Anolis sagrei: one gene and its partner. Each later gene encodes a partner of the first gene's protein in a complex. Links are inferred from orthologs where the notes say so. Each region holds a gene or a part of one and is shown in the gene's direction. Other genes may lie near its edges.

What was found.
Region 2: TRMT112 (region 1) and THUMPD3 share a complex: the UniProt entries of both Homo sapiens proteins name them as parts of the heterodimeric THUMPD3-TRM112 methyltransferase complex. The link is inferred for Anolis sagrei from reciprocal best matches to the Homo sapiens genes TRMT112 and THUMPD3.

What each region holds. Positions count from the first base shown.
Region 1 is NC_090032.1:16,789,056-16,799,658, reverse strand, and holds the start of TRMT112 (multifunctional methyltransferase subunit TRM112-like protein), read left to right. Parts: upstream 1-4,536; 5' UTR 4,537-4,607; coding exon 4,608-4,688; intron 4,689-7,289; coding exon 7,290-7,391; intron 7,392-7,569; coding exon 7,570-7,662; intron 7,663-10,603. Other genes in the region: PRDX5 (peroxiredoxin-5, mitochondrial), read right to left, coding at 1,549-1,689. UniProt on the Homo sapiens protein: Acts as an activator of both rRNA/tRNA and protein methyltransferases. Together with methyltransferase BUD23, methylates the N(7) position of a guanine in 18S rRNA.
Region 2 is NC_090022.1:49,779,239-49,789,841, forward strand, and holds the start of THUMPD3 (tRNA (guanine(6)-N2)-methyltransferase THUMP3), read left to right. Parts: upstream 1-4,480; 5' UTR 4,481-4,763; intron 4,764-7,504; 5' UTR 7,505-7,536; coding exon 7,537-7,794; intron 7,795-8,420; coding exon 8,421-8,498; intron 8,499-9,382; coding exon 9,383-9,886; intron 9,887-10,603. UniProt on the Homo sapiens protein: Catalytic subunit of the THUMPD3-TRM112 methyltransferase complex, that specifically mediates the S-adenosyl-L-methionine-dependent N(2)-methylation of guanosine nucleotide at position 6 (m2G6) in tRNAs.

The sequences.
Region 1 (10,603 bases):
TTTCTTCCTCCATTCATGCCTCTTCAAATTCTGCAGCACTACTGGTCACAACTGACCTCCAGCTGGAGTGCTCAAGGGCCAGAGTTTTTAAAGAAAAAGGAATGTTGGTGGGAAGGAAAAGAGATTGAAAGATGGGATCAAAGCCAACCTTAAAAACTCTGGCATTGACCCTGAGAACTGGGAAGCCAGAGTTTTTAAGGTTGGCTTTGATCCCATCTTTCAATCTCTTTTCCTTTCCACCCACATTCCGTTTTCCATTCTTGAGATCGGAGTAGAGCAACTGCTTTGTGAGACGGTGGTCGGGCATCCGGACAACGTGGCCAGCCCAGCGGAGTTGATGGCGGAGGACCATTGCTTCAATGCCGGTGGTCTTTGCTTCTTCCAGCATGCTGACATTTCCCCGCTTGTCTTCCCAAGAGATTTGCAGGATTTTCCGGAGGCAGCGCTCATGGAATCGTTCCAGGAGTTGCATGTGACGTCTGTAAACAGTCCTTGTCCTGCAGGCATATTTGAAGCCATAGTTCCGCGTCCTAGTCTTCAAGGAAACAGAAAACAAGTTCTCCCCCTCCTCCCTCTCACATATTTATCCCTGGCCTTCTTCATGTCTTCTCAGGCTATTTAAGCCGCTCCTCATAGGGCTTGTTCTCCAGATCCCTCCTTTTTACTCCACATTTTCGCTTATCCAACGTTCTGCTCTTGGCCCGTTTATGCTGGAGAAGAGACTACTGTACATAATCCCATACAGAAAGGCTTCTCTTCTTCTCGGGCTCTTTAAGCCGCTCCTCATAGGGCTTGTTCTCCAGATCCCTCCTTTTTAGTCCACATTTTCGCTTATTTTCGTTGATGTTGGAGAAGAGACTACTGTACATAATCACATACAGAATGGCTTCTCTTCTTCTCAGGCTCTTTAAGCCGCTCCTCATAGGGCTTGTTCTCCAGATCCCTCCTTTTTAGTCCACATTTTCGCTTATTTTCGTTGATGTTGGAGAAGAGACTACTGTACATAATCCCATACAGAAAGGCTTCTCTTCTTCTCGGGCTCTTTAAGCCGCTCCTCATAGGGCTTGTTCTCCAGATCCCTCCTTTTTAGTCCACATTTTCGCTTATTTTCGTTGATGTTGGAGAAGAGACTACTGTACATAATCCCATACAGAAAGGCTTCTCTTCTTCTCGGGCTCTTTAAGCCGCTCCTCATAGGGCTTGTTCTCCAGATTCCTCCTTTTTAGTCCACATTTTCGCTTATTTTCGTTGATGTTGGAGAAGAGACTACTGTACATAATCACATGCAGAAACTACAATGCACAATAGACATAAATACACACACACAAAATATGGTATTCCAGCCCTTAAGAGGAATGCCTCACACACAGTCAATGCAACTCGAGAAGGGCCTGAGTGAGGCCTAGGCCTGGAATGCCTCCTGAGGAGGCATTCCAGGCCTAGGCCTCACTCAGGCCCTTCTCGAGCCTTTGCCAACTCTAATGACGGCTCCCGGAGGGGCCAAACCGCGTTAACTCTCCGGTGTGGACCCGCCCCGAGGCGACTGACCTTGAGGGCGGCCATGGCTGCTGCTCCGGTCCCGAAATACCGGCCCTTCTGCGCTCCACGGATGCCGAGGAGTGGGGCCTGCACCAAAACAGCCCTGCCTGCCAAAGCCAGCACCCCCGCCCCTCGCCACCCCGTTGCCATGGAAATCGCAGGAGTGACGGCTGCTGCCCTGGCAACCCCGGGCCTGCCTCCCAAGTCTCCCTCTCCCCTCCGGAGGGCGGGTAGTCAGGGGGCGGGGCCAACGCAAGGGGCGGGGCCTGGGGTGGCTCATCTGCATCTCATTTGCATGAAGTACAACCACGTGGAAATGAACACAATCTGCCGACCAGTATTAAAAACCAACCTCTAAAATCAGCATGGTAAATAAAGAACAACGCTCAGAAAAACAGGAAATAATCAGGGCCAGCTAACCTCCCCTGAAAGGATCCTCCCCCCAGGCAGGAAGCAGCCGGGCTTTGAAGCTGCAAGGCTATTCAATGCTAAGGCTTTAAAGCTGTAAGGGTATTCAATGCTAAGGATTCCCCCCAGGCAGGAAGCAGCCAAGCTTTGAAGCTGCAAGGCTATTCAATGCTAAGGCTTTAAAGCTGTATGGGTATTTAATGCTAAAGATTCCCCCAGGCAGGAAGCAGCCAGGCTTTGAAGCTGCAAGGCTATTCAATGCTAAGGCTTTAAAGCTGTAAGGCTATCCAATGCTAAGGATTCCCACATTCAGGAAGCAGCCAGGCTTTGAAGCTGCAAGGCTATTCAATGCTAAGGATTTCCCTCCAGGCAGGAAGCAGCTAGGCTTTGAAGCTGAAAAACTATTCAATCCTAAGGCTTTAAAGCTGTAAGGCTATTCAATGCTAAGGATTCCCCCATTCAGGAAGCATCCAGGCTTTGAAGCTGCAAGGGTATTCAATACTAAAGATTCTCCCCAGGCAGGAAGCAGCCAGGCTTTGAAGCTGCAAGGCTATTCAATGCTAAGGATTCCCCCAGACAAGAGATAGCCAGGCTTTGAAGCTGCAAGGCTATTCAACGCTAAGGATTCTACACGCAGGAAGCAGCCAGGTTTTGAAGCTGCAAAGCTATTCAATGCTAAGGCTTTAAAGCTGTAAGGCTATTCAATGCTAAGGATTCATCCAGTCAGGAAGCAGCCAGGGTTTCAAGCTGTAAGGGTATTCAATGCTAAGGATTCCCCCCAGGCAAGAAGCAGCCAGGTTTTGATGCTGCAAGTCTATTCAATGCTAAGTTTCCCCCATTCAGGAAACAGCCAGGTTTTGAAGCTGCAAGGCTATTCAATGCTAAGGATTCCCCCAGGCAGGAAGCAGACAGGCTTTGAAGCTGCAAGGCTATTCAATGCTAAGGATTCCCCCAGGCAAGTGTCAGACAGGCTTTGAAGCTGCAAGGCTATTCAATGCTAAGGATTCCCCCAGGCAGGAAGCAGCCAGGTTTTGAAGCTGCAAGGCTATTCAATGCTGTAAGGCATTCAATAGCTGTACGGCTATTCAATGCTAAGGATTCCCCTCCCCAGACAGGAGACAGCCAAGCTTTGAAGCCACAAGGCTATTCGATGCTAAGGATCCCCCCCCCAGACAGGAGACAGCCAGGCTTTGAAGCTGCAAGACTATTGAATGCTAAGGATTCCCCTCCGCAGACAGGAGACAGCCAGTTTTTGAAGCTGCAAGGCTTTTCAATCCTAAGGATTCCCCCCCCCAGACAGGAGACAGCCAGGCTTTGAAGCTGCAAGGGTATTCAATGCTAAGGATTCCCCCAGGCTGGAAGAAGCCAGGCTTTGAAGCTGCAAGGCTATTCAATGCTAAGGATTTCCACCCAGGCTTTGAAGCTGCAAGGCTATTCAATGCTAAGGATTTCCCCCCAGGCTTTGAAGCTGCAAGGCTATTCAATGCTAAGGATTTCCACCCAGGCTTTGAAGCTGCAAGGCTATTCAATGCTAAGGATTTCCCCCCAGGCTTTGAAACTGCAAGGCTATTCAATGCTAAGGATTTCCACCCAGGCTTTGAAGCTGCAAGGCTATTTAATGCTAAGGATTTCCACCCAGGCTTTGAAGCTGCAAGGCTATTCAATGCTAAGGATTTCCCCCCAGGCTTTGAAGCTGCAAGGCTATTCAATGCTAAGGATTTCCACCCAGGCTTTGAAGCTGCAAGGCTATTCAGTGCTAAGGATTTCCACCCAGGCTTTGAAGCTGCAAGGCTATTCAATGCTAAGGATTTCCACCCAGGCTTTGAAGCTAAAAGGCTATTCAATACTAAAGATTCCCCCAGGCAGGAAGCAGCCAAGCTTTGAAGCTGCAAGGCTTTGAAGCTGCAAGGAAATATTAGGGTTAGATATGAGAATAATATCATAATAATCGGTTCAGGGAAGTATAGTATAATAATAATAATACTCAAGAATCAATCAAAAATTAGTTCAAAAAGATATAATAATACTCGAGGCATTGGTTCAAGAAGATATAATAATATTGTAATAGTATAATGCTCTAGAAATGGTTCAAGAAGATCTAATTCCTGACACGAAACAATCGGGGCCAGCTAAAACCTCCCAACAAAGGATTCCCCCAGGCAGCAACCAGCCAGGCTTTGAAGCTGCAAGGCCATTCAATGCTAATCAAAGTGGCCAATTGCAACATTCCCACTTGCCTCAAGCAGACAAGAGTTCTTTCTCCCACCCTGGGCATTATTCTACTAAAACAAACAAACAAATAATCATAAATAATTATTATTTTATTGAAACATTTCGTTGATATTATATTTTATATATAGAACATTGTATATGTTATATTAACATTGCATTTTAATATTATATTTATTTATATATTTTATTTCATTTATTTAAATATTTAAATAGTGGGGATGTTGGTTTAAATGAAATATTACAACCCGGAACGGTGTCGCATTTAGATCTGGTTTCCCGTACATTCGATATTAGCGTTGCACTAACTCACCGGAAGTGTGTCGAAATTAGCCGCCGGAAGTGAGAGGAAAAAGGGGGCGTTAGAGCGGTGGAGTGGCGGCACGCATGCGCAGACGGTTTCCCGGCCCGGCCACCGGCGTCGTGCGAGGATGAAGCTTTTGACGCACAACATGCTGACTTCTCACGTGCGGGGCGTGAAGCCCGGCGGCGGCTTCCCTCTTCGCATTCAGGTGAGGGCGGGGCGTTCCCAGGCCACGCCCCCTTGATTAGCATTGAATGGCCTTGTACCTTCAAAGCCTGGTTTCTTCCTGCCTGAAGAAGTCCTTTGTTGGGATGTGTTAACAGGAATAAGCCAGGCTTTGAAGCCGCAAGGCTGAAATAATCTTCAAATCTATGGGGAATTTGGGGCAAATCCTACGCTGTGTTGCTGTGAGGATTTCCAGGTTGCCTGGCCATGTTCCAGAAGCATTCTCTCCTGATGTTTCGCCCACATCTATGACAGGCATCCTCAGAGGTTGTGAGGTTTGTTGGAAACTAGGACAATGGGGTTGATATATCTGTGGTGGGAGAAAGAACTCTTGTCTGTTGGAGGCAAGTGTGGATGCTGTAATTCGCCATCTTGATTATAGCAAAGAATGGCCTTGTATCTTCAAAGCCTAGCTGCTTCCTGCCTGAGGAAGTCCTTTGTTGGGATGTGTTAACAGGAAGAAGCCAGGCTTTGAAGCTGCGAGGCCATTTATTGCTAATCAAGGTGGCCAATTGCAGCATCCGCACTTGCCTCCAACAGACAAGAGTTCTTTCTCCCACCCTGGACATTATTCCCCCAGGCAGAAACCAGCCAGTCTGTGAAGCTGCGAGGCCATTCAGTGCTTATCAAGGTGGCCAATTGCCGCATCCGCACTTGCCTCCAACAGACAAGAGTTCTTTCTCCCACCCTGGACATTATTTCCCCGGGCAGAAACCAGCCAAGTTTTTAAGCTGCAAGGCCATTCAGTGCTAATCAAGGTGGCCAATTGCAGCATCCACACTTGCCTCCAACAGACAAGAGTTCTTTGAAGGTCCAAGGTGAGAGAAAGAACTCGGTGATAGTATGATAGGTGTGTACGGAAGCTCCGAGCGTTACGGAGATGCCGCAAACGCGGCTGGGAAAAGCGAAGAGAGGGAGCGGAGGGAGAGCGGGGAGAGCAAAGGAAGGATAGAAAGGAGGGGATGCTTGGGGTAAGGGTTAGGGCAGGGTTAGGGGTTAGGGTTAGGGGTTTCAAACTGCCAACCTAGCAGTTTATATAATATTATATTAAGGGCCGCTCAGTGGCACAGCGGGTTAAACCGCTGAACTTGCTGACCGAAAGGTCGGCGGTTCAAATCCAGGGAGTGGCGTGAGCGTCCGCTATTAGCAGTTCGAAAAGCATGCAAATGTGAGTAGATCAATAGATCTGGTGAGAAGGTAACGGCGTTCCATGCAGTCATGCTGGCCACCTGACCTAGGAGGACAACGCCAGCTCTTCGGCTTAGAAATGGAGATGAGCAGCAACCCCCAGAGTCGGACATGACTAGGTTTAATGTCAAGGAGAAATCTTTACCTTTACCTTTTACGGTTAGGGTTAGGGTAAGGTTTAGGGTTTGGGTTAGCGTAAGGTTTAGGGTTTGGGTAAGGGTTTGGGTAAGGGGTTAGGGTTACGATTCTGGTATGGTTCAGGATTAGGGTAAGGGTTAGGGTTTCACAATTAAAGAACTCTGGCATTCCTTCTATATTATCTATCTCCGGCCTGGCTTACATTAGCTAATAATAATAATAATAATAATAATAATAATAACAACATTATTATTATTATTATTATTAATTACATTAGCTAATAATAGTAATAATAATTACATTAGCTAATAATAGTAATAACATTAATAATAATAATTATTACATTAGCTAATAATAATAATAATAATAATAACTGCAAAAGGCCACCTGACTTGGATCTGTGCGCATCATTCGAAAATACATCATACAGTCCTAGACGCTTGGGAAGTGTTTGACTTGTGATTTTGTGATACGAAACCCAGCATAGAGATCTCGTTTGCTGTGACATACTGTGCTTTTGTGACAGTAAAATAATAATAATAATAATAACAATAATAATAATAATACATCACACAGTCCTAGACGCTTGGGAAAGGTTCGATTGTGATTTTGTGATATGAAATCCAGCATCTAGATCTTGTTTGTGATGACAAACTGTTTTTGTGTCAGTAAAATAATAATAATAATAATAATACATCACAGTCCTAGACGCTTGGGAAGGCTTCGACTTGTGATTTTGTGATACGAAATCCAGCATAAAGATCTCGTTTGCTGTGACATACTGTGCTTTTGTGTCAATATAATAATAATAATATCACACAGTCCTAGACGCTTGGGAAGGGTTCGACTTGTGATTTTGTGATACGAAATCCAGCATCTAGATCTCATTTGCTGTGACATACTGTGCTTTTGTGTCAGTAAAATAATAATAATAATAATAATAATAATAATACATCACAGTCCTAGACGCTTGGGAAGGGTTCGACTTGTGATTTTGTGATACTAAATCCAGCATATAGCTCTCGTTTGCTGTGATATACTGTGCTTTTGTGTCAGTAAAATAATAATAATAATAATAATAATAATAATAATACATCACACAGTCCTAGACGCTTGGGAAGGGTTCGACTTGTGATTTTGTGATACGAAATCCAGTATATAGATCTCGTTTGCTGTGACATACTGTGCTTTTGTGTCAATAATAATAATAATAATAATAATAATAATATTTTTTTTTCTCTCCATTTTCTTTGCACAGGCCACAGAGGTCAAGGTGAACAATGTCGATTTCAATCCAGAGTTCACTGCCCGGATGGTGCCCAAAGTGGAGTGGGGAGCCTTGGTGGAAGCTGCAGAGAGTGTGAGTCGGGTCCTCCTGCCATTCATTACACTATGTAACAAAATCTGAAAAATTTTCTATTCCCAGTTTGAAAATTTTATTTCCTGTTTAATTGTGTGTTACTTACTTGGAACCCTTTGCTCCATTGTTTCCCATTCTTTAGAACCTCGGATCATTGTTTTACCTTTTTTTTTTGCAGTTGGGTCATCGGTCGGACCTCCCTGCTGAGCCCATCCCTGACTATGAGAGCAATGAGGATTTTCTCCGGAAAGTACATCATGTGTTGATGGAGGTAAGGGATCTCTTCATCGTCCCAGGTTCCTGCATCCTCATCTGTTGCCCAAAATCAGAGAATTGGAAGGAACTACAATGGTCTTCTAGTGGTGGCACAACAGGTTAAACCATTGAACTTGCTGACTTAAAGATTGGCAGTTTGAAGCCGTTGGTAAAGGTGAGCTCCCACTGTTAGCCCTAGCTCTTGCCAACCTAGCAGTTTGAAAACATGCAAATGTGAGTAGATCAATAGGTACTGCTTTTGTATGGTGCCATACAATATCTCCCCGTTTAAACAGTGCCTAATTTCTCTACTCACAGCTATTTTTGAACTGCTTAGGTGGACAGTAAGCTGGGCTGAAGGTCGGGTGCTCACCCTGATCTGGGCTCGAACTCCCAATCTTTCGGTTGGGAAAGATCTCTTGCCGTTAGTGATTAAAGCCTGGCCCTTAACGTTAAGCCGGTGAATCTGCTGACCTAAAGATTGGAAGTTCGAAGCCGTAGGTCTGGATGAGGTCCCGCTGTTAGCCCTAGCTCTTCCCAACCTAGAAGTTTGAAAACAAGCAAATGTGAGTAGCTCAATAGGTACTGCTTTTGTATGGTGCCATACAATATCTCCCCAGTTTAAGCAGTGTCTAATTTCTCTACTCACATTTATATGTTTTCAAACTGCTAGGTTGGCAAGAGCTAGGGCTAACAGCGGGAGCTCACCTTGTAACTTTACGTTCCGGATAACCCTCGTACCATGCAAACTTCGCACTTGGAGGGAAATGGAATGAGGACGATCATCTCTCCCCATTTGAGCAGTGCCTAATTTCTCTACTCACAGCTATTTTTGAACTGCTTAGGTGGACAGTAAGCTGGGCTGAAGGTCGGGTGCTCACCCTGACCCAGGCTCGAACTCCCAATCTTTCAGTTGTGAAAGATCTCTTGCTGTTAGTGATTAAAGCCTGGTCCTTACCATTAAACCATTGAATCTGCTGACTTAAACGTTGGTGTTTTGAAGCCGCAGGTCTGGGTGAGCTCCCGCTGTTAGCCCTAGATCTTACCAACCTAGCAGTTTGAAAACATGCAAATGTGAGTAGATCAATAGGTACTGCTTTTGTATGGTGCCATACAATATCTCCCCATTTAAGCAGTGTCTAATTTCTCTACTCACAGCTATTTCTGAACTGCTTAGGTGGACAGTAAGCTGGGCTGAAGGTCGGGTGCTCACCCTGACCCAGGCTCGAACTCCCAATCTTTCAGTTGGGAAAGATTTCTTGCTGTTAGTGATTAAAGCCTGGCCCTTATCATTAAACCAGTGAAACTGCTGACCTAAAGGTTGGCACTTCGAAGCCGCGGGTCTGGGTGAGCTTCTGCTGTTAGCCCTAGCTCCTGCCAACCTAGCAGTTTGAAAACATGCAAATATGAGTAGCTCAATAGGTACTGCTTTTAATCTGCAGTTCGAAGCCGCAGGTTTGGGTGAGCTCCCGCTGTTAGCCCTAGCTCTTACCAACCTAGCAGTTTGAAAACATGCAAATGTGAGTAGCTCAATAGGTACTGCTCTTGTATGGTGCCATACAATATCTCCCTGTTTAAGCGGTGCCTAATTTCTCTACTCACAGCTATTTTTGAACTCCTTAGGTGGACAGTAAGCTGGGCTGAAGGTCGGGTGCTCACCCTGACCCGGGCTCGAACTCCCAACCTTTCAGTTGGGAAAGATCTCTACTCACAGCTATTTTTGAACTGCTTAGGTGGACAGTAAGCTGGACTGAAGGTCGGGTGCTTACCCTGACCTGGGCTCGAACTCCCAACCTTTCAGTTGGGAAAGATCTCTACTCACAGCTATTTTTGAACTGCTTAGGTGGACAGTAAGCTGGGCTGAAGGTCGGGTGCTCACCCTGACCCGGGCTCGAACTCCCAACCTTTCAGTTGGGAAAGATCTCTACTCACAGCTATTTTTGAACTGCTTAGGTGGACAGTAAGCTGGACTGAAGGTCGGGTGCTTACCCTGACCTGGGCTCGAACTCCCAACCTTTCAGTTGGGAAAGATCTCTACTCACAGCTATTTCTGAACTGCTTAGGTGGACAGTAAGCTGGGCTGAAGGTCGGGTGCTCACCCTGACCCGGGCTCGAACTCCCAACCTTTCAGTTGGGAAAGATCTCTACTCACAGCTGTTTTTGAACTGCTTAGGTGGACAGTAAGCTGGGCTGAAGGTCGGGTGCTCACCCTGACCCGGGCTCGAACTCCCAACCTTTCAGTTGGGAAAGATCTCTACTCACAGCTGTTTTTGAACTGCTTAGGTGGACAGTAAGCTGGGCTGAAGGTCGGGTGCTCACCCTGACCCGGGCTCGAACTCCCAACCTTTCAGTTGGGAAAGATCTCTACTCACAGCTGTTTTTGAACTGCTTAGGTGGACAGTAAGCTGGGCTGAAGGTCGGGTGCTCACCCTGACCCGGGCTCGAACTCCCAACCTTTCAGTTGGGAAAGATCTCTACTCACAGCTATTTTTGAACTCCTTAGGTGGACAGTAAGCTGGGCTGGAGGTCGGGTGCTCACCCTGACCCGGGATCGAACTCCCAACCTTTTAGTTGGGAAAGATCTCTACTCACAGCTATTTTTGAACTGCTTAGGTGGACAGTAAGCTGGGCTGAAGGTCGGGTGCTTACCCTGACCTGGGCTCGAACTCCCAACCTTTCAGTTGGGAAAGATCTCTTGCTGTTAGTGATTAAAGCCTGGCCCTTACCATTAAACCGTTTAATCTGCTGACTTAAAGGTTGGCAGTTTGAAGCCGCAGGTCTGGGTGAGCTCCCGCTGTTAGCCCTAGCACTTGCCAACCTAGCAGTTTGGCAGAAGCTGGGTCTAACAGTGGGAGCTCAGCCCGCTCCTCAGATTCAAACTGCCGACCTTTGGGTCAGCAAATTCAGCAGCTCAGCGGTTTAACCCACTGGCCCACTGAATTCTAGTTCCACGTCAT
Region 2 (10,603 bases), on another chromosome or scaffold:
TTGCTTTGAACTGGATTATATGGCCCAATCTACACTGCCATATGCAATCCAGATTGTCTGATTATATGACTTGTATAATTCAGTTCAAAGGAGATCATCCGGACTATCTACTTTGATGTTGTTTATTGGTTCAGTTGCTTCCAACTCTTTGTGACCTCATGAACCAGCCCAGGCCAGAGCTCCCTGTCAGTCGTGGCCACCCCCAGCTCCTTCAAGGTCAAGCCAGTCCCTTCAAGGATAATCTTCATCCATCTTGTCCTTGGTCGGCCCCTCTTCCTTTTTCCTTCCATTTTCCCCAGCATCGTTATCTTCTCCAAGTTTTCCTGTCTTCTCATTATGTGGCCAATATAATATCATTGCCTCTTATATCCTTTCCTCCAATGAGCAGCTGGGCATTATTTCTTGGAGTATAGACTGGTTTGATCTACTTTGATAATCTGGATTACATGGCAGTGTAGAAGGACCATGTTTGCCATCGTCTCTGTACCTATTTGGGCTTCCACAATTTCAATGTTTCCTCTTTTTTAAAAAAAAAGAGGAAGAGAAAAAGAATATGGAATGAGCGAGGATTATGCTCACTTGTGTGATTAGGTTGGAAAAAATTTATTTCCAACACAATGGGACAATACACTATGGTAAGAAGATACCTCCCCTCCCCCCCCCCCCCCCACACACACACACATACACATACTTTCTGCAACTCATGGGATGAGGTCCTAAATCTCTGCCCCAAACTGCATAAAAACCAGCCATTCCCATCCTGAATCTTACAAACAAGCAGTCACTTCCAGTCACAGTGTGGCTTGGAGAGTCATCTCTACCCTCTGAGTGATATAGCCGGGGTGGCTATATTGGGGTAATTTAAAATTGCAACACTCGATGGCTGTCCACATTGGAAATAATGATGTGCTGATATTTATTTATTTATTTATCGTATCAGGAGCTGGCCAGTAGCTGGCCACTTGGAGTGCCTCTGGTGTTGCTATAAGAAGGTCCTCCATTGTGCATTTGGCAGGGCCCAGGCTGCATTGTAATAGGTGGTCTGTGATTTGTTCTTAACACTCACATGTCGTGGACTCCAATTTGTAGCCCCATTTCTTAAGGTTGGTTCTGCATCTCATGGTGCCAGAGCGCAGTCTGTGCAACGCCTTCCAAGTTGCCCAGTCTTATGTGTAATAGCTCAGTATGTGGATGATTTTGGTAGAAATAGTCTCATTTGGTATCAGCCATGGATTGAGGTGCTGGGTTTTAGCCTGTCACTTTTGGACTCTTGCTTGCTGAGGTGTTCCTGCGAGTATCTTTGTAAATCTTAGAAAACTATTTCTTGATTTAAGGCGTTGGCGTGCTGGTTGATATCCGAACAGGGGATGGGTCGGAGATGTCACTGCCTTGGTCCTTTCATTATTGGCTGCTACTTCCCGGCAGATGTCAGGTGGTGCAATATTGGCTAGACAGTAGTGTGGGGGCCAGACAGCCTGTGATACTGCAGCATGTCTCATTAAGACATGTGTTGATATTGCCATCACAATTACGTCTTGATATATATCCATACAAGACTGCCCTCTAGTGAGCTAGTTCTTATCAATAGTAAAGTACTGAGAAAATAAAGCTGAATAGTTCATACTCTTTCTTATGAAGGTCTTGCAAAGATTAGTTCAGATCCGGTTTTGATGCAGTGAGTTGAAGATGGCCCCTTTCTACACTGCCATGTTTGTCATCTTCTCCGTATCTATTGAGAAATGGCTGTCAATTTAAGGAAACTGAATATGTGAGGTCCCCTCTACAGTCCCACCTCTGTCTCAGGCTCTGGGGATGAGAGAAAGGGCCTTCTCTGTCGTGGCCCCCCGGCTCTGGAACTCCCTCCCCAGGGAGATTAGGCTAGCACCTTCCGTGTCCACCTTCCGCAAGGACTTAAAGACAGGGATGTTCCATTGTGCTTTTAAGTAGGCAATTCCCTTGGCAGCTGGCCCTAGTTAGGACCAAAAAAAAAACTTGTCCTCAAGCACTTTGCGATTGTTATATCCAAATCCTTAATGGTAAATCATTCTTACCCTCATCGCTGCTATATGATATTTGCACTTTACTCATTAGCTCCATCCTTTAATTCTATGGCATCAGATTGCCCACCCACGACAAGACATTGAACTTTGTTATGTCAGTTTTGATGTTTGTTTTATACATTAATGTTGATCTTTTTATTTTGTTATATTGCTTTTTGTTATTATTTTGTTGATATGCATTTTAATGTATTATGTTTTAACTGTTGTGTTGGGCTTGGCCCCATGTAAGCCGCCCGAGTCCCTTCGAGGAGATGGAGGTGGGGTATAAAAATAAAGTTGTTGTTATTATTATTATTATTATTATTATTATTATTATTGCAGCCTCTTCTACACTTCCATATAAAATCCAGATTATCTACTTTGAAACTGCTTATATGGCGGTGTAGACTCATATAATCCATTTGTGGGTTATTTGCTTTGATATTCTAGATTATATGGCAGTGTAGAAGGGGCCTCAGATAGTTGAAGTGTTTCAAGCCAACATATATTATTTTACATTTTGTTACTGCTTTTGAGAAACTGGGGAATGTTTTTTTTTCTTTTTTAAAAAAGTTAAATGTATATGTGTGTGTATATGAGACAATTAGATTGCCATTGCAAATTCTCCCAATAGAGCATTTGATGGCCCTTCCACACATCCAAAGAACCCAGAATATCAAGGTAGCGAATCCACAATATCTTCTTTGAACTGGGTTATGAGTCCACACTGCTATATAACCCAGTTCAATGTGGATTTTGCAGAGCTGTGTGGAAGGGGCCTATGATGAAAACATGAGGTGCAAATATGAAAATAATAAATTACAACTATGGTCATAACTTAAAATGATAAGGTCCTTCCACACAGCCATATAAACCAGGCAGAAAATCCCACAATATCTGCTTTATTTCTTTATTATTTACAGTATTTACATTCCACCCTTCTCACCCCACAGGGGACTCAGGGCAGATTACAATGCACATTTACATGGCAAACATCCAATGCCAATTAGAAATACAACATATATAGATAGACACAGAGGCAATTTAACATTCCAGCTTTTCCGACTTCAAGAGGGTATGCTCGATTCTGGCCACAGGGGAGCTGCCACTTGATTGTCCATTTGTGACACTGCGTCCTTTGATGGAGTACTTCCTCATTTTTCTGCATGCTGCTGGGAGGTTTTATGGCATCATAAATTAGTTAAATTAGCCTCGCCGCATAAAGAAGTACCTAAATTTCCTACTTGACAGATGCGACTGTCTTTCGGGCTGCATAGGTCAACAGCAAGCAACATTATTAATGGTCGGGAGCTTACCCCATCAGGGCTGGCTTCGAACTTATAACCTCTTGGTCCGTGGTGAGTTAATGCAGCTGGCTATTATTTATTTTTTTATTTATTTAAAACTTTCATATCCCGATCTTTTCTACCTCTGCAGAGGGACGCAGACCGGCTGACAGCAAAGATCAATGCTAACACTAAAAATCTAAAATACAATACACAACATTAAGTTACCAATTACATATAAGCTAAATTACATAAAAGCCATTCGCCAAGATTAAATCATGTCTAACTCAGTCCGTATATTCAGTCCATATATTGTGATCAGTACCATTAGTCGATTGCTGGTCTCAGACATCATCCTGCAAAAGCTTTGTTCCACAGCCAGGTTTTCACTAGCTTCCTAAAGGTCAGGAGGAAGGCTACTAAGTACACTACAGCCTGGTTCTTTTTATGGCATCATAAATTAGTTAAATTAGCCTCCCCACATAAAGCAGTACCTAAATTTCCTACTTGACAGATGCAACTGTCTTTCGGGCTGCATAAGTTGACAGCAAGCTAGACCAATGGCCGGAAGCTCACTCTGACCTGGGCTGGCTTCGAACTCATGACCCCTCAGTCTGTAGTGATTTAAAGCAGCTGGCTATCAGTCCTTTGAACTGGGTTATCTGAGTCCATACTACCATATAATCCAGTTCAAAGCAGAAAATGTGTTTTTTTCCCTCCAACTGTGTGGAAGAAGCCAAAGAAACAGGTTCAGGAGTGACAAATATAGAAAGCAAGGCCATATAATGCAGCTTCAAACTGAAATGCATGAGTCTACACCAGGCCTGGGCAAACTTGGGCCCTCCAGGTGTTTTGGAGTTCAACTCCCACCATTCCTAACAGCCTACCGGCTGTTAGGAATGGTGGGAGTTGAACTCCAAAACACCTGGAGGGCCCAAGTTTGCCCAGGCCTGGTCTACACTGCCATTGCCAGCCTCTTTCTCTGTGTGAATGGCCTCCTCCCAGATTGGGGCCTGCAGTGCTGCACTTAAGGGGCGCGAGGGAAGAAGGAACGCACGCCATTGGCCCACAGTTTCCATGGCAACAGTGGAACGCGCCCTCCCCCCTCCCTCCCAAGGCCGCAGAGGCTCCCGCGCCTGACTGGCTCACTCCCCCGGAAGTGCTTGCCTGTAATTAGCTGGTTCTTTTCCCCGGAAGGAATTCTCGGTGTTCCTCGTGTGCAGGCTGTTGCCCCGAGTAACCGGGCGAAAGGAAGAAAGAAAGGAGGTCGCGGGCTGAGAAAGGAGGAGGGAACTTCGTTTGTGTGTGTGTGTCTGCGGGAGCTTCGTCGGTTCCCACGCTCTCCTCCCGAAGAAGCCCAGGAAAGGGCTCTTGCTCTCCTTTCGAAGACGGCCTCTGCATCACTCCGCATTTTACAGCAACACAACTCCATTGGAAGGTAGGAAAAGGCTTGAGGAGGGGGGCTCTACACTGTAGAATTAATGCCCTGGCTCAGTACTCTGGGATCTTGGGAGTTTAGTTTTATTTTCTGCCAAAGAGTTCTGAGGCCCTGGCAAATTGTGTCTCCCAGGATTCCATAGCCTTGAGCCATGGCAGTTAAAGGAGTGCCAAACTGCATTAATACCACAATGTAGACGCACCCAAGCGGGTTACAGGTTTGGCATCCTTTATTCCTTAACCTGAAATATTCCAGATTACTTCAGAATACCAAGGTGAAAGAAGAAAGCGCAAAAGCCGGGTTGCAGCTAAACATCAAAAAAACCCCAAGATTATGGCAACAAGAATGATTGACAACTGGAAAATAGAGGGAGAAAATGTGGAGGCCGTGACAGACTTTGTATTTCTAGGCGCAAAGATTACTGCAGATGCAGACTGTGGCCAGGAAATCAGACGACGCTTACTTCTTGGGAGGAGAGCAATGTCCAATCTCGATAAAATAGTAAAGAGTAGAGACATCACACTGGCAACAAAGATCTGCCTAGTCAAAGCCATGGTATTCCCTGTAGTAACCTACGGATGTGAGAGCTGGACATTAGGGAAGGCTGAGCGAAGGAAGATAGATGCTTTTGAACTGTGGTGTTGGAGGAAAGTTCTGAGAGTGCCTTGGACTGCAAGAAGATCCAACCAGTCCATCCTCTAGGAAATAAAGCCCGACTGCTCACTGGAGGGAAGGATACTAGAGACAAAGTTGAAGTACTTTGGCCACATCATGAGGAGACAGCAAAGCCTAGAGAAGACAATTATGCTGGGGAAAGTGGAAGGGAAAAGGAAGAGGGGCCGACCAAGGGCAAGATGGATGGATGGCATCCTTGAAGTGACTGGACTGACCTTGAAGGAGCTGGGGGTGGTGACGGCCGACAGGGAGCTCTGGCGTGGACTGGTCCATGAGGTCACAAAGAGTCGGAGACGACTGAACGAATGAACAACAACAAACTTCAGAATACAGCAGTGGCTGTGACACTTCTATTTTCTGATGGTTCGTTGTATACATACTTTTGTTTCACGTTCAAAATCATTAATAAAATGGAATCTATTTCTTTCGTTATTTACTATATTTATATACCACCTTTCTCAGCCCGGAGGCGACTCAGGGCGGTTTACAATCGGCAAAATTCAATGCTCCCAACAACATAAAATATAATTAAAACATTAGCATATAATATAAACCATATAAAAACAATAAAGACAATATATATTTATTTTGTGTCAAAAGCAATGCATAAATCAGTATAAAACCGATTAAAAAAACAAAAACAAACCCCCCCCCCCAAAAAAAACACAAGTCCTCAACGTCTCATTACTAAAATCATTTTTCAGTCACATCGTCCAGTCGTTCCATTTACCTACAGCAGATGTGTATGCGTGAAACATTTTGCATTTAGACTTAAGTCCCTTCTCCAAGGTTAAAGATATCTTGGTATTCCTAACACACACAAACACCTGAAATTCAAGATACTATCATTTACAAATAAAGGTATTCCTTGCACGTGCATACACACACACACACACACCAAATCCAAGATACTATCATTTACAAATAAATGTATTCCTTACACACACCTCCCCCCAAATCTAAGATAATATAATTTACATATAAATGTATTCCTAACACTAACACACACAAGTACACCCCAAATCCATGATACTATCATTTATATATAAAGGTATTCCTAACACATACACACTCCAAATCCCAGATACTATCTTTTACAAATAAAGGTATTCCTAACACACACTCTCTCTCCAAATCCCAGATAATGTTCATTTACAAATAAAGATATTCCTAACACACACATCCAAAATACAGGATATTGTCATTTTGGATAAGGGATAGTAAACTGTACCTTGAGTCCACTCCATATGGTTCAGCCAGGCTGGTTTGTTTCCATTGAGGAGTCATAAAACTTTGCTTTCTTATGAGGAAATCAATGGATGTAATAGGTGCTTGACTTCAATTAGGGCCTTTTAAAGAGTGGTGTTTCTGTAAAACACAATAATGGCTTCTTGTTATACCATGATTATGAGAGTGAAGTCTGAGTGCACTGAGGTTCTGGTGTTATTCTAACACACATTGCAGTGTGCTAGTGTTTGACTTGGCCATTTCATTGGGTTTTTCTAAAAATAATTCTATGGTTTGGATAGTAGGCAGCCTTAACAATGGGAGATTGAGGATCATAACCACTTCTCATCTGGTCCCCTGTTGCTTTATGTTCATATATGCGTGTACTAGTAAATGTTATTTCAAAAATCCTATGATTTTAAGCTTATATTTTTTAAAATATGGTGCCATTTTTGTACATAAAAATATTAGATATTCAATCAGCTCTCCAAAGCCATTGATCCTATATCCATGGGTTCAAGCATCTGTATCTTGAAAATATACCCTCCTCCCCCCAATGCAAAAAGCAACCCATGATTTTGACTTTTTATATAAGGGACATCATTTTACTATGTCATTGTATGTAATGGAAAGTGAGCATCAATATGAGTTGGATGATTCCTGAAACCAACCCCTAGCAGATACCAAGGACCCAATGCATATTATCAAAGCAACTTTTAATGTGAGGTGTAGCGCTGAACAGAAGAATTTGTCAGGTCCCATTGTTTGAAAAAAAATCTCAACAAGTGCATTGCTTGAATCATTTGGTGAGTCTATTAAAGAATGCATTTATTTTACAGAGGTTCTATAAACAAACACAATACCTGCTAGAATGTCTGGACCTGAAGAGGCCGGTGATATGTTATCTGAAGTGACCCTGGAAAATGCATGTGAAACATTAAGTGAGAACTGTGAAGTCAATCCTGACACAAAACCTAAAGATATTATAGTTACAATTGGGGCTACTGTGCCAACTGGCTTTGAGGCAACTGCAGCAGATGAAGTACAGGAGAAACTTGGATCAAAGTCCAGAATTAGTAAAGATCGAGGGAAAATCTATTTTGAAATTCCTGCAATCAGACTTCCACAGGTTTGCAGATTTTTATTAAATATTTTTATTAAATATTTGAGTAAAGTGTGTGCTTGTGACTTTAAATACCTGTTGTATATTAATTTGTAATTCTCCTTGCAGTTATTCATATGTTTGTTTCCTTATTAGTCATAAAATTATAATTGTAATCTATTTTTATTAATGCCCTATTCTTTTTGAAGCAAGGGATTGCAAATACTGAAATTGTGAGCATGAAAGAAGAAGAATGGAGAGATGGAAGAACAGTCAAATGTTTTTATTTTGTAGTAAGTTTTGTTTCACACTGCAGCCATATTTGTTTTGACAGGTCTCCAGTAGATGAAGTAGATTCAGTGAAAGTAGATTTATATATATATATTTAGTTCTAGATAACACTTCCAAGTTGAAGTTTGCACATGCTTTGGTGTGATAACAGTATGTGAAGAGTTGCATTTTAAATGTGCAGCAACAGTAAACAAATACCTACCACAAAAATATGACAAATACATTGCTCTGTTACATTTTAAGAGTAGGCATTTGTTTTCTGTTTAATGTTTTCAAGCCAAATATAATAACCAGCAGACTTGTCTTTAAGGATTGCAAAGCCCCCTACGATAGTAAACAAGAGATTCTCTAATTTCATCTAGGTTCATCAGTTGCGATCAGTTGACAACTTATTTGTTGTAGTTCAAGAATTCAAAGATTATCAGTTTAAAGAAACTAAGGTAAGCATTTTTGACTCCATGCTTCCAAGCACATGTTTTTTAAATGACAAAAAATATTTAGTACAGGAATATATGAAGCATAGGGACTTCGTAATGCTAATAGATAATATCTACGCCATGTTGGGATGATGTAGGATCTCAGCCTTTAGATTTTAATAGTTAAGACCAGAAACTTGAACTGAGCACAGAAGCCAATAGATCACTATTACCGATTGAATGAGATCTCATGTGTTACATTTGAGCATTGCCAGCCAGCAAATTGTTAGCAGTATTATGTATCCAAGGTTAGCCCTGTAGAAGGTGTTTGGCAGGAATCAAAAGTGGAGGTAATTAGCATGTTCGTGTCCATTCATGTTCACCCTCCCATCAACTGAGTAATATGAATAGTTTATATTCCAGCAAGTTAGTAGGACATATTGCTGTCTTATTATATAGCTATCCTGTTTTCTTTTTGTTTTAATTTTCTGTTTTCTAATATTTGATTATGTTTCAGTATATTTTATCTTTCATGTATGTCATTTTGAATACTTTATAAACTCAGTAGGATTTCAGTAGCTGAAAGTGTGAAGGTATTACTGTTAAGCAGTTGATCTGAACATGAATAAACCATTTTGTGCATCTAAATGTTCATTGTGGTGTAGCCATAATATATCATGTACCAAAGCAGAAGAGAATTGATGTTGGAGCTAAAAATATGCAAAGTTATGTTGTAGCACCTCTGAACCTAATCGAACAAAAGACGTTTATAGCATAAGATTTCACAGACTAGGTCTACTTCATCAGAAGCAGATGTATTGAATGTATTGTAAATGGAATTTAGTAGACATAGGGAATGCTTGGCAGCATGAAAGAAAGTTTAAGTGCTTTGTCCTCTTATGTTATAGGAGGACACTCTAAAGGATTTAGAGGACTTGGCTAAGAAACTGCCTTGGACTGATGCTTTGGAAGTATGGAAGTTGAATACAAATCTTAAAAAAAGGAAAACAAGGCGAAAGAAAGGCAATCAACAAGGCAATTCAAAGAAAGAGAAGCTAAAAGAAGATGGGTGTGAACAAGAAGCTGTTTGCAAAGAAATAGATGATCCAGTACAAAATAGTTTGGAGGCTGCTGAAACCCAGAACCCTGAGTGTACTGATGAAAAGGTACCACTTGATGAAGATGAGCAGTCTGATCCTAAAGAAGAGCTGGCATCCAATGAAGAAAACAAGAATGAATTGGAAGACTGTAAGAAGTGTGAAATGGATGCTGAGACACTGAAGTTCAGGGTGACTTGCAACAGAGCTGGTGATAAACACAGCTTTAAATCAAATGAGGCAGCAAGAGATTTTGGAGGAGCAGTTCAAGATTTTTTCCAGTGGAAAGCAGACATGACTAATTTTGATGTAGAGGTAAAATTCTATACTAGTTTGGGGGGCTGGGTAGGATAATATTCTCTTGCATGCAAAGCTTTAGGAATGTCTTGTGATAAAATTTGATCCATTACTTTTTCACCAAAATTCAAGAGAATAGATAAGCAAAGTGAGCTCAGATTTACTCAGGTGCAAAGCACCTAATCAAGTGCTATAAGGAGATGAATGGAAATTGTATGTGGTGTTTTTCATGACATTTCTTTGTATAGTTTAGTCTGCAGAAGTCAAGAAGGTAGGGATTGTTCTGAACACTAGTTGGATTGATACATGTTTTAATGTATCAATGAAAATGCTTTTATGCTGCATTCTACTGTGAAATCTTGAAGCATCATACAAATAAATCATTTTAAATATGCTTTATTCTAAATTTTAAAAAGCTCTGTTAGCTCCACTGGCTGCCAATTTGCTACCGAGCACAATTCAGAGTGCAGGCTTTAGCATATAAAGCCCTAAACGGTTCTGGCCCAGCCCCTCTGTCCGAACACATCTCCCCCTATCCCCCTATGAACCATCCCAGGTGCTAAGATCTTCGGGGGGAGGGGGGCTGCTCTCTCCTCACCTTCACGGGTGCAGCTGATGGGGGCAAGAGACAGGGTTATCTCAGTGGTGGCCCTTCAGCTGTGGAACTCCCTCCCCAGTGAAATTAGATCAGCTCCCTCCTTTGTATCCTTTAGGAAACAAGTTGAAACCTGACTA